3 linked regions of the Kluyveromyces lactis genome follow. The protein of the gene in region 2 interacts with the protein of the main gene of each other region in a pairwise test. Links are inferred from orthologs where the notes say so. Each region holds a gene or a part of one and is shown on either strand. Other genes may lie near its edges. The genes, in order: RPT3, RAD23 and PTH2.

Evidence for each region.
Region 1: the proteins of RAD23 (region 2) and RPT3 interact in binary tests that used the Saccharomyces cerevisiae proteins (3 or more experiments, as listed by UniProt). The link is inferred for Kluyveromyces lactis from reciprocal best matches to the Saccharomyces cerevisiae genes RAD23 and RPT3.
Region 3: the proteins of RAD23 (region 2) and PTH2 interact in binary tests that used the Saccharomyces cerevisiae proteins (3 or more experiments, as listed by UniProt). The link is inferred for Kluyveromyces lactis from reciprocal best matches to the Saccharomyces cerevisiae genes RAD23 and PTH2.

What each region holds. Positions count from the first base shown.
Region 1 is NC_006039.1:570,857-574,136, reverse strand, and holds RPT3 (proteasome regulatory particle base subunit RPT3), read right to left. Parts: upstream 1,919-3,280; coding exon 632-1,918; downstream 1-631. Other genes in the region: SMP3 (glycosylphosphatidylinositol-alpha 1,2 mannosyltransferase), read left to right, coding at 1-542; SHE9 (She9p), read right to left, coding at 2,327-3,280. UniProt on the Saccharomyces cerevisiae protein: The 26S proteasome is involved in the ATP-dependent degradation of ubiquitinated proteins. The regulatory (or ATPase) complex confers ATP dependency and substrate specificity to the 26S complex.
Region 2 is NC_006041.1:1,974,094-1,977,230, reverse strand, and holds RAD23 (Rad23p), read left to right. Parts: upstream 1-1,444; coding exon 1,445-2,596; downstream 2,597-3,137. Other genes in the region: ANP1 (Anp1p), read left to right, coding at 1-869; putative acireductone synthase UTR4, read right to left, coding at 3,044-3,137. UniProt on the Saccharomyces cerevisiae protein: Plays a central role both in proteasomal degradation of misfolded proteins and DNA repair.
Region 3 is NC_006041.1:1,781,735-1,784,445, forward strand, and holds PTH2 (aminoacyl-tRNA hydrolase), read left to right. Parts: upstream 1-1,529; coding exon 1,530-2,174; downstream 2,175-2,711. Other genes in the region: anthranilate synthase TRP2, read left to right, coding at 1-1,141; protein phosphatase regulator SHP1, read right to left, coding at 2,317-2,711. UniProt on the Saccharomyces cerevisiae protein: The natural substrate for this enzyme may be peptidyl-tRNAs which drop off the ribosome during protein synthesis.

The sequences.
Region 1 (3,280 bases), on a different chromosome or scaffold from region 2:
CGATGAACCTTGACAATTTCGATACTTTCTTTCAAGCAGAAACCATCATAACTTCATGGCTCGTCTTTAATATTGTCATGGGATTGATAATGGGAGTATTCCATCAAGCAGGAATAATACCTCTCATATCCTACTTCTCAGGTGAAGAATTCCCTGTTCATATTTGGTGGAAGACATATTCTCCTCCGACGTGGATGTATTCCAATCCTGATCTGACGGTTTCTACCACGAACTTTAAGGAAAATGTAGAGTTTGTCGATAATATACCTTGGCATGTTGTATCAAATCATGTTGTTGATTTAAAAGGTAGTGACATTGAGTTACTAAATAAAACTCTTACAAAATTTTCGGAGAACACAGACTCAATTCAGCTAATCATGCCAAATACTGTTCTCGATAAATTGACCCCCCTTCAGTCGCAATGGAAGTTCATCACAGAATGGGAGACGCAGCAGCATCTCGATTTAGATCACATTGATATGCCAGACTGGACTACCATAAAGCCAGGATTAAGGCTATACAACGTAAGTCTAATAGTTTGAAATATTACTGGCTTATTTTCTATTAGGAATACTTTCCAATATACACTGCATTTACCGATATGTATTGAGTCAAACACAATTAAATTAAATTATTTATAGAAGTCGAATTTATCAACATCGCTACCTGACTTGACTTGTGAAGCATACGCTTCCTCCAAATCGCTTTGTAGGATGACGTATCTGTTCTTTCTGACAGCTCTTAGACCAGCTTCTTGCATAATGGCGGCAATCAAAGCACCAGATAAAGGATCATTTCTGATGATCAAAGAATCTAAATCTGCTTCAGGAGCTAAAGACATCTTTGCAGCTATAGTACCAAAAATTAAACGACGTTCACGCCTGTCCCTTAATGAAGGGAATTCGATCTTTCTGTCTAATCTACCAGGTCTTAACAAAGCTGGATCTAGAGTATCAGCACGATTGGTTGCCATTATAACTTTAACATTTGTTGACTGATCAAAACCATCCATTTGAGTAAGTAACTCAATCAATATACGTTGGACTTCACGATCAGACCCTGTCTGAGCATCGAAACGTTTTGTAGCGATGGAATCCACTTCATCGATGAAAATAATTGATGGTGAGTTTTCTCTTGCCAATCTGAAAACATCTCTAACCATTCTTGGCCCTTCACCTAAGTATTTATGCACAAACTCTGACCCGTTCACTCTGATGAATGCGGCTTCTGTCGCGTTTGCCACGGCCTTAACTAACATAGTTTTGCCAGTACCAGGAGGACCATAAAGTAAAACCCCTCTTGGTGGGTCAATACCAATCTGTTGATACAAATCCGCCTGTACCAAGGGTAGTTCAACAGCTTCTCTTATTTCTTGCTTCTGCATGTCTAACCCACCAACATCGGCATAGGTGACATCTGGCTTTTCATTTGCGGCCATGATTGATATGCTAGAATCTGAATCAGGTGGTAAAATATCCACAAGGGCATTAGAGTGACGATGTAATGCAACTGAAGTTGATGGTTTTAACAGTTCCCTATCTAGAGTCGATAGAATCCTTACGACATAACTCATACCTGTGGTCGAGGAGACGATACCGGTGTTTTCGTCAATCGGTTCCAAAAATTGACCAATGACAAGTGGCACAGATTGGATTCTTTTCACTTCCTCTTGGGCTCTGAGTAATTCCCTCTTCAAATGGCGCTGTTCATCTTTGATATAATCTTCTTGTAATGTCAATAATTCATATTCTTTCTCCAGCTTCTTTAGTTTCAAGTAGACATCTGAATTACCATTCGCCACGGCAAATGAATCATTATTTAGCTGAGCAAGTAGGGAACCATATGATAGACCATTATTCTTTGCACCAAATTCTACACTAAGAACAGGTTGAGGAGTACTAATACCTAGTTCTTCCATAATGTTTTGATCTTAATTCGTCTTTCCCGTAGTGTGTAAATATTCTAACTCCCTTTAGACTATGATCAAATAAAGACGAAAGTATCCGAAAACACAGAAAAGTTCCAATAATATACTGCAATTCCAATAAACTAAGGGGTCAGTCTTACTACTTACACGGATATATGTGTTTGTACCTACATATATTTATAAACGTATCCCCTTCCACACTAAAGTGGTTATGTCAAATCGTTCAGTTTAATAATTGCATTATTTCATTAAAAAGTTAAATCTCATTTTGGGTATTTTGCCACCCATTTTGCAGTCACGTGATCTCGGTTCTTAGACAACTTTTTCGAAGGGCCTACACTGTTTAGAATGTTAACATGATAGGCTACCCACTACGTATATCAATGCACCTGTGTATACTCAAATGCAGTGTCCTAATAGTATACCTAATGATAAAAGTAGTGTGGAGTACGAGTAGAAACAACTCTTGGTGAAAGTGACGGTTGTCTCCGGTAAAAGAGTTACCAACTTATTATAGTATATTGTCCACTGTAAAGAACACCATATCTTAAAGTCAGCAACTATATTTGAAAATGTGAGGATTTTGGGAACTTCCTCCTGATGGGGTTTTGTTTGAGTTTCTTGAAGTTTTTTATCCATCAAATTGTCTATGGTATTTGACATTTCTGAAATTGCCAAGTTTTGTTCCTTTTGATGATCATCAAGCGCCATTTTTACCTTATCTTCGAAAGAACCGACTAACCTCCTTCTCTTCCAAGGTTCTAGCAGTAATTGAAATATTACGAAGAAGAGTATATTTACTCCCATCAAAATAAATGTACCCCATGTCGAAGTTCTTCTGATCTTATCTGACCAGATTTGTTCTTCGTGATACCTTGTAAGAATGGCTCGGTACAAATTCGTTGAAAGTTCCTCCTCCTTAGCCTCAAGTTCTGCGAGTTTTACCTTAGATTGTTCTTCCGTTTGAGAGTTCAATGCGTCATCTCTGTATAGTTGGGTAAATCTATCAAGGTCAGTAGGAGACCACGAATTTTTTCTTTGCAACAATTCATTAACTTCCTTTTGCGATCCCGATCTTGCTTTTATAGCTGTCTCGTACTTTTCCTTTGCTTCATTGACAAGTTTTTTAGTGTCCTTCAGCTCTTCTTCCAATGAGGAAATTGTATTTCTTAACTTCTGAATACTGGAATATCCTGTTACGTCATTCAAAGCTCTGGTGGCTGTGAATATGGTCTCTTGCAATGAATCTAAATACAGTTCCATTTTGCGAGCCCATTTTTTACGATGTCGTTCTCTTTCGCTAGGTAGGTCCTTGATCTTACCTTCAGCGTTATAGTTCAATTTTGAATCGTT
Region 2 (3,137 bases):
ATAGACACGGGTTTGCAGCTCAAGGCCCTAGAAGAAAATCCATGGCCAGAGCTAGAAATTGGCTTGGGTCAGCGGCTTTGAAGCCGTATCATTCTTACGTGTACTGGAGAGATGTCGACGTTCAAACTATACCGAATACTATTTTGGAAGATTTAATGCATCATGATAAAGACGTCATTGTTCCAAACGTCTGGAGACCTCTACCCGATTGGTTGGGAAATATACAACCATATGATTTGAACTCATGGGTTGAATCTGAGGGTGGATTACAATTAGCTGATTCTTTGGATGAAGATGCTTGTATCGTAGAAGGGTACCCGGAATACGCTACATGGAGAACACATTTGGCCTACATGAGAGACCCAAGCGGCGATCCCGAGGTCGAGATGGAACTAGACGGAATTGGTGGTGTTTCCATCTTATCTAAAGCTAAGGTCTTTAGAACAGGTTCTCATTTCCCTGCGTTCTCTTTCGAGAAACATGCTGAAACTGAAGCCTTTGGTAAATTATCACGTAGAATGCAATACAGTGTTGTCGGTCTACCTCATTATGTGATCTGGCACATTTACGAACCTTCAAGTGACGATTTGAAACACATGGCCTGGATGGCCGAGGAAGAGAAACGTCGGGTTGAAGAGCAAAAAATTCAAGAGTTCTATGCTAGAATTTGGGATATTGGTTTCGATGACGTGAGAGATGAGTGGGAGCTAGAAAGGTTACAAATTTTGAAGAACATTGATCCGAATGTCCTAGATAGGAAGATTCAAGTGGACTGGTCAGATGATGATGAAGCAGATGATGGTTCAAGGAACGGAGGAAATAATCAAGATTCACATGAAGTACCACTGGACTTTGATCCTGCTCATTAATAATTTTCTGTTTAGGCAGTGAAGAGTAAAGAAGATTATAAAACCCACAAATACATTCTTCACTAACGAGATATTTTTTAAAAAGATATCTTAACCATCTAATTTCAATTCTCATCGCTTCCATCCCCTATTATTATTCAATTATTAGGCAGACTGTAACACGTTGGAGTATCTAGTTGTACAATATGCACCTTAGATCATTATCGAGGTTTTTATCAATAGACTTTTTTTTACATTTACGTTTAAATGCATTATATACTAATATTGTACTTGCAATAATCTGTTCATTTTGTTTACTTCAAACCATATTACTACTGGTAACTATTACAGGCAAGCAAATACTGAAAACACGTTATCAAGCTGCATTAAGCTGTAATTTTCAGCGTATTCCGGAGTTCTGCATCTTGTCAGATACCTTCAGTTTTTTTTTTTGTCAACATCGAAAATGAAAGTTGAGAACAGTGAAAGAAATTGAAATTAATGCCAAATCAACTTGAATCTGATGGCTGGGTGGCAAAGAAGATAAAGTCAAGAAAACAACCGTTGAGACAAAGTCCAAGAAAATCACAAGCATAATGCTTATTAATTTTAAAGATTTCAAAAAGGAAAAACTACCTATTGAATTGGCGGATGATGCCACCATTTCACACGCCAAGGAATTGATCGCTGAACAAAAACAGTGCGATGCATCTCAAATAAAGTTGATCTACGCAGGTAAGATACTCCAGGATCCTAAGACCGTATCAGGATGCAATCTTAAGGAAGGGGATCAGGTTATATTCATGATTAGCAAAACTAAGAAAAAGGCTGATGTTAAGGTAACTGAATCCACAACTGAACCCCAAGATGAATCTCAAGCCACTGCTTCTGCAGAAACTTCTGCAGTTGCAAATGCACCTGCGGAAGCTACAACCACTGGTACAAGAACAGGTACTACTGCAGTTACACAAGAAGAAGGGACGACTGATGCTTCGTTTGTCACTGGTTCTCAACGTAACGAGACTGTGAACAGAATCATGGAAATGGGTTATGATCGTGAACAAGTAGAACGTGCGCTTAGAGCAGCATTCAACAACCCTGACCGTGCAGTGGAGTATTTGCTTATGGGTATTCCTGAAGCCAGTGAGCCATCGCAGCAACAAGCTGAAGCTGTAACTAGTGAAGCTGGGGCGAATGCTAATTCTGAAGTTGCAACAGACGTGCCATCACAATTCACTGAACATGAAGACAATTTATTTGCACAAGCAGAAGCCAATAATGGCGAGCAAGGTCATGAATCCGCTGCTGGTTTAGGTGGAGAAGAAATGGGCACAATCGGATTGACTATGGAGGACATTACACAACTTCGTGACGTTGTATCTGGGCGTCCAGAGGCTTTAATGCCACTTTTCGAGAGTCTAAGCACGCGTTACCCACATCTCCGTGAGACCATGCTGCAAGATCCACAAAGGTTTATCTCTTTGCTATTAGAAGCTGTTGGCGGTTCCCTAACCGATTCTTTGGGTGAAAATCTGGGAGATGACATAGCAGAAGGTGATCTAGGTGATTTCGGGGGACAAACTCAAGGCGCGCCTCCCAATGTTACTATCTCAGCAGAAGATGAAGAAGCTATCAATAGACTTTGCGAGTTGGGTTTTGAGAGGACCTTGGTGGTGCAAATCTACTTCGCATGTGACAAAAACGAAGAAATTGCTGCCAACATGCTATTCAACAATTACGCTGATTGAATGTAGTATGATTTTTCAATAAACCATCGTCTCTTTAGGCATGTAGGGAAAGAAGAATATGTTCAAAATAGAAAACAAAAATAATTATCTCTACCAAATTTGTTTAATAATATGGAATATGCGTACTCATATCTCCAGCATGTAGTGTTTGCCAATCCAAGTATGACCTCTATACCGTCAGATTTTCCTACTACAGCGAAGGCATCCCACATATTCATCTTCCAATTTTTGCACACATACGCACTCATAATGAGCAGTTATACTTAACCAACCTTAGTCAATCTGCAACAGACGGAGCGTGGTATGTTCGATCTCTTACTTCCAACTTCAAGTAGGATTTGTGTTACAATCAATCAGATATCCCCTTCATTAATTTTTTTAAATTTATTCATCATTACACTATATCCTTAGTCCCAATTCAGAGAACCAGTGTACCTTAGACATGTCTTATATAGATGAGAAGTTATTAAGCGCTTTATATTTTTCTGCATTAGATACCGGGTTGTTTCCAGGCCTCAATGCCAAGATGGTGCTGATGCCT
Region 3 (2,711 bases), about 190 kb from region 2:
TTACGACTGTGTTCAGTATTTTGAACCAAAGACGAAGAGACCATTGAAAGATGTGCTACAAGTACCAGAATCTGCTTTGATGCTATACGATACCATTGTTGCATTTGATCATGTTTTCCAAAGGTTCCAGATCATAACTAATATCAATGTGAAGACGGTCTCATCTTTGGAACAAGGTTACGAAGATGCATCTGAGATTATCAAACGCATTATCGCCATCTTGAAGGATGAATCTAGTCCGATACCATTACCTGAACAACCATCAATCAAATTGAACCAGACTTTCACATCAAACATTGGTCAAGAAGGATACGAACAGCACGTGAGAGATTTGAAAGAACATATCAAGAAGGGTGATATCATCCAATGTGTTCCATCTCAACGTGTCGCTAGACCAACTTCACTTCACCCATTCAATATCTACAAACACTTGCGTACTGTGAATCCCTCGCCATACTTATTCTATATCGATTATTTGGATTTCCAAATCATTGGTGCTTCACCTGAATTGTTATGCCAAGTTGATGCCAAAAACGAAGTTATCACTCATCCCATTGCTGGTACAGTCAGAAGGGGTCAGACTCCAGAAGAAGATGACAGATTAGCGGAAGAGTTGAGAAATTCTACTAAGGACAGAGCAGAACATGTGATGTTAGTTGATCTAGCCCGTAATGATGTGAACAGGGTCTGTGATCCAACCACCACTTCCGTGGATGAGTTACTTTCAGTGCAAAAGTTCTCTCACGTCCAACATCTTGTCTCTCAAGTCAGTGGTACACTAAGGAAGGATCAAAACAGATTTGATGCTCTAAGGTCTATTTTCCCTGCAGGAACAGTTTCTGGTGCTCCTAAGGTCAAGGCCATGGAATTGATCGGAGAACTGGAAGGTGAAAAACGGGGTGTTTACGCTGGTGCCGTTGGACACTGGTCATATGACGGAAAATCCATGGACACATGCATTGCCTTGAGAACAATGGTTTATAAAGACGGTATAGCCTATTTGCAAGCTGGTGGTGGTATCATATTTGATTCTGACCCATATGATGAGTACGTAGAAACAATGAACAAAATGAAAGCTAACCACAATACTATTCTACAAGCAGAGCAAATTTGGGCTGAGAAAGTTGGCACTCAAGACTAGCGCTGTATATGTCATATCCACTAATAGTTGAACCTGAACCTTTCCCGTTTCGTTCACAGTATGTATTCTATCGTGTATTCACATTAGACTTGTTATAGAATTGTAAAAAGGTAGCTTTAAGTGTACCATGGATGCACATATGAATGGATTAATGCCACTGGATAAATATACGAAAGGTAGGAGTAGGAATCTGGTGGTCTAAAGTACCAGCAGACGTCCTACTTCATACGTTTCTATCCAGCAGTTGCATATAATCTTTTCTTTAGGAAAATTTTACATTAAACCGATATATTCCAAGTGATGACAAGGAGATCACTGGCAGAGCATATTAAAGCAGAGGAAACTGACACTATCACTACAGCTACATCAAACCATAACTGCTATCCAGATGGCACCATCATCGTTGAATTTAGCAGTGTTGTTCACGCTGTCAGCATTATCTCTGACAACTGGATATTATCTTGGACAGATAACACCATCAAGGAAGGATGAGATACAAGAATTGTTGAAACAAGCGAAGATTAAGGCTGAGCGAGATGAGCAAGCGTATGCCAGTGAACATGACGATGGTGATGAGGACGAGGATGAAGACGAATCTGAGGATGAAGATGAAGATGAAGATGGCATTGCAGTAGATTCCATATGCCTAAATGACATTCCTGGTGAAGTAAGGATGGCCTTGGTTATCAGGCAAGATTTGGGAATGACTAAAGGGAAAATCGCTGCTCAATGTTGTCATGCTGCATTAGCCTGTTTTAGGCTTATTGCGTGTGATCCAAGTAGAACTTCATATAATCCGGAGATGACTCACAGATGGTTGGCAAGAGGTCAAGCAAAGATTACTTTAAAATGTCCAGATAAGGAAACAATGGATGAGCTCTTCGCTAAGGCTATTGCATTAGGAGTTAACTCATACGTTGTTCATGATGCTGGTAGAACACAAATTGCAGCGGGAAGTGCTACTGTTTTAGGTTTGGGACCTGCTCCGAAAGCAGTCCTTGACCAAATTACTGGTGATCTCAAGCTTTACTGATACTTCGATCTCTCAAATCGTTGGAATAATCATCGACTGCATAAACAACTCTATCCTGAAAATATAAGGATTTAGGTTGTCTCCGTATATTTAAACTTGTACATATGTAATAATCTTTGTAAAATTATACTATATTTAAGATTTATACCCATCTTTGGACCACCACTGCATTGCATAGGTCTTGATCTTTCAAAGTGGAGTCAAATTCGTCAATGGGTTTTACGGGAAATGCATGGCTTAGTGTAAATGGGCGCATTTCTGCTGTGTTAGCTTTAACATGCTGGTACAAGAATCTGATGGTATCTGTAGAGTTACAACGTAACACCTCCCTCTTCCCAGAAGCATATCTGATCTGTACACTAGTGTCTCCCTTTAGCTCGTCATCTGGCGATTTTTCTTTGATTTCAGTCCCTACTGGAGTAGATTCGGCAGGCGATGCTGATTGAGAGTTTACTGCATCACCAGGAATGGGTGAGCCCAATCTCTTACCTGTTCCTTGGAAGCCACTCACTTTTCTCTTAGGTGGAACGTAAGGCT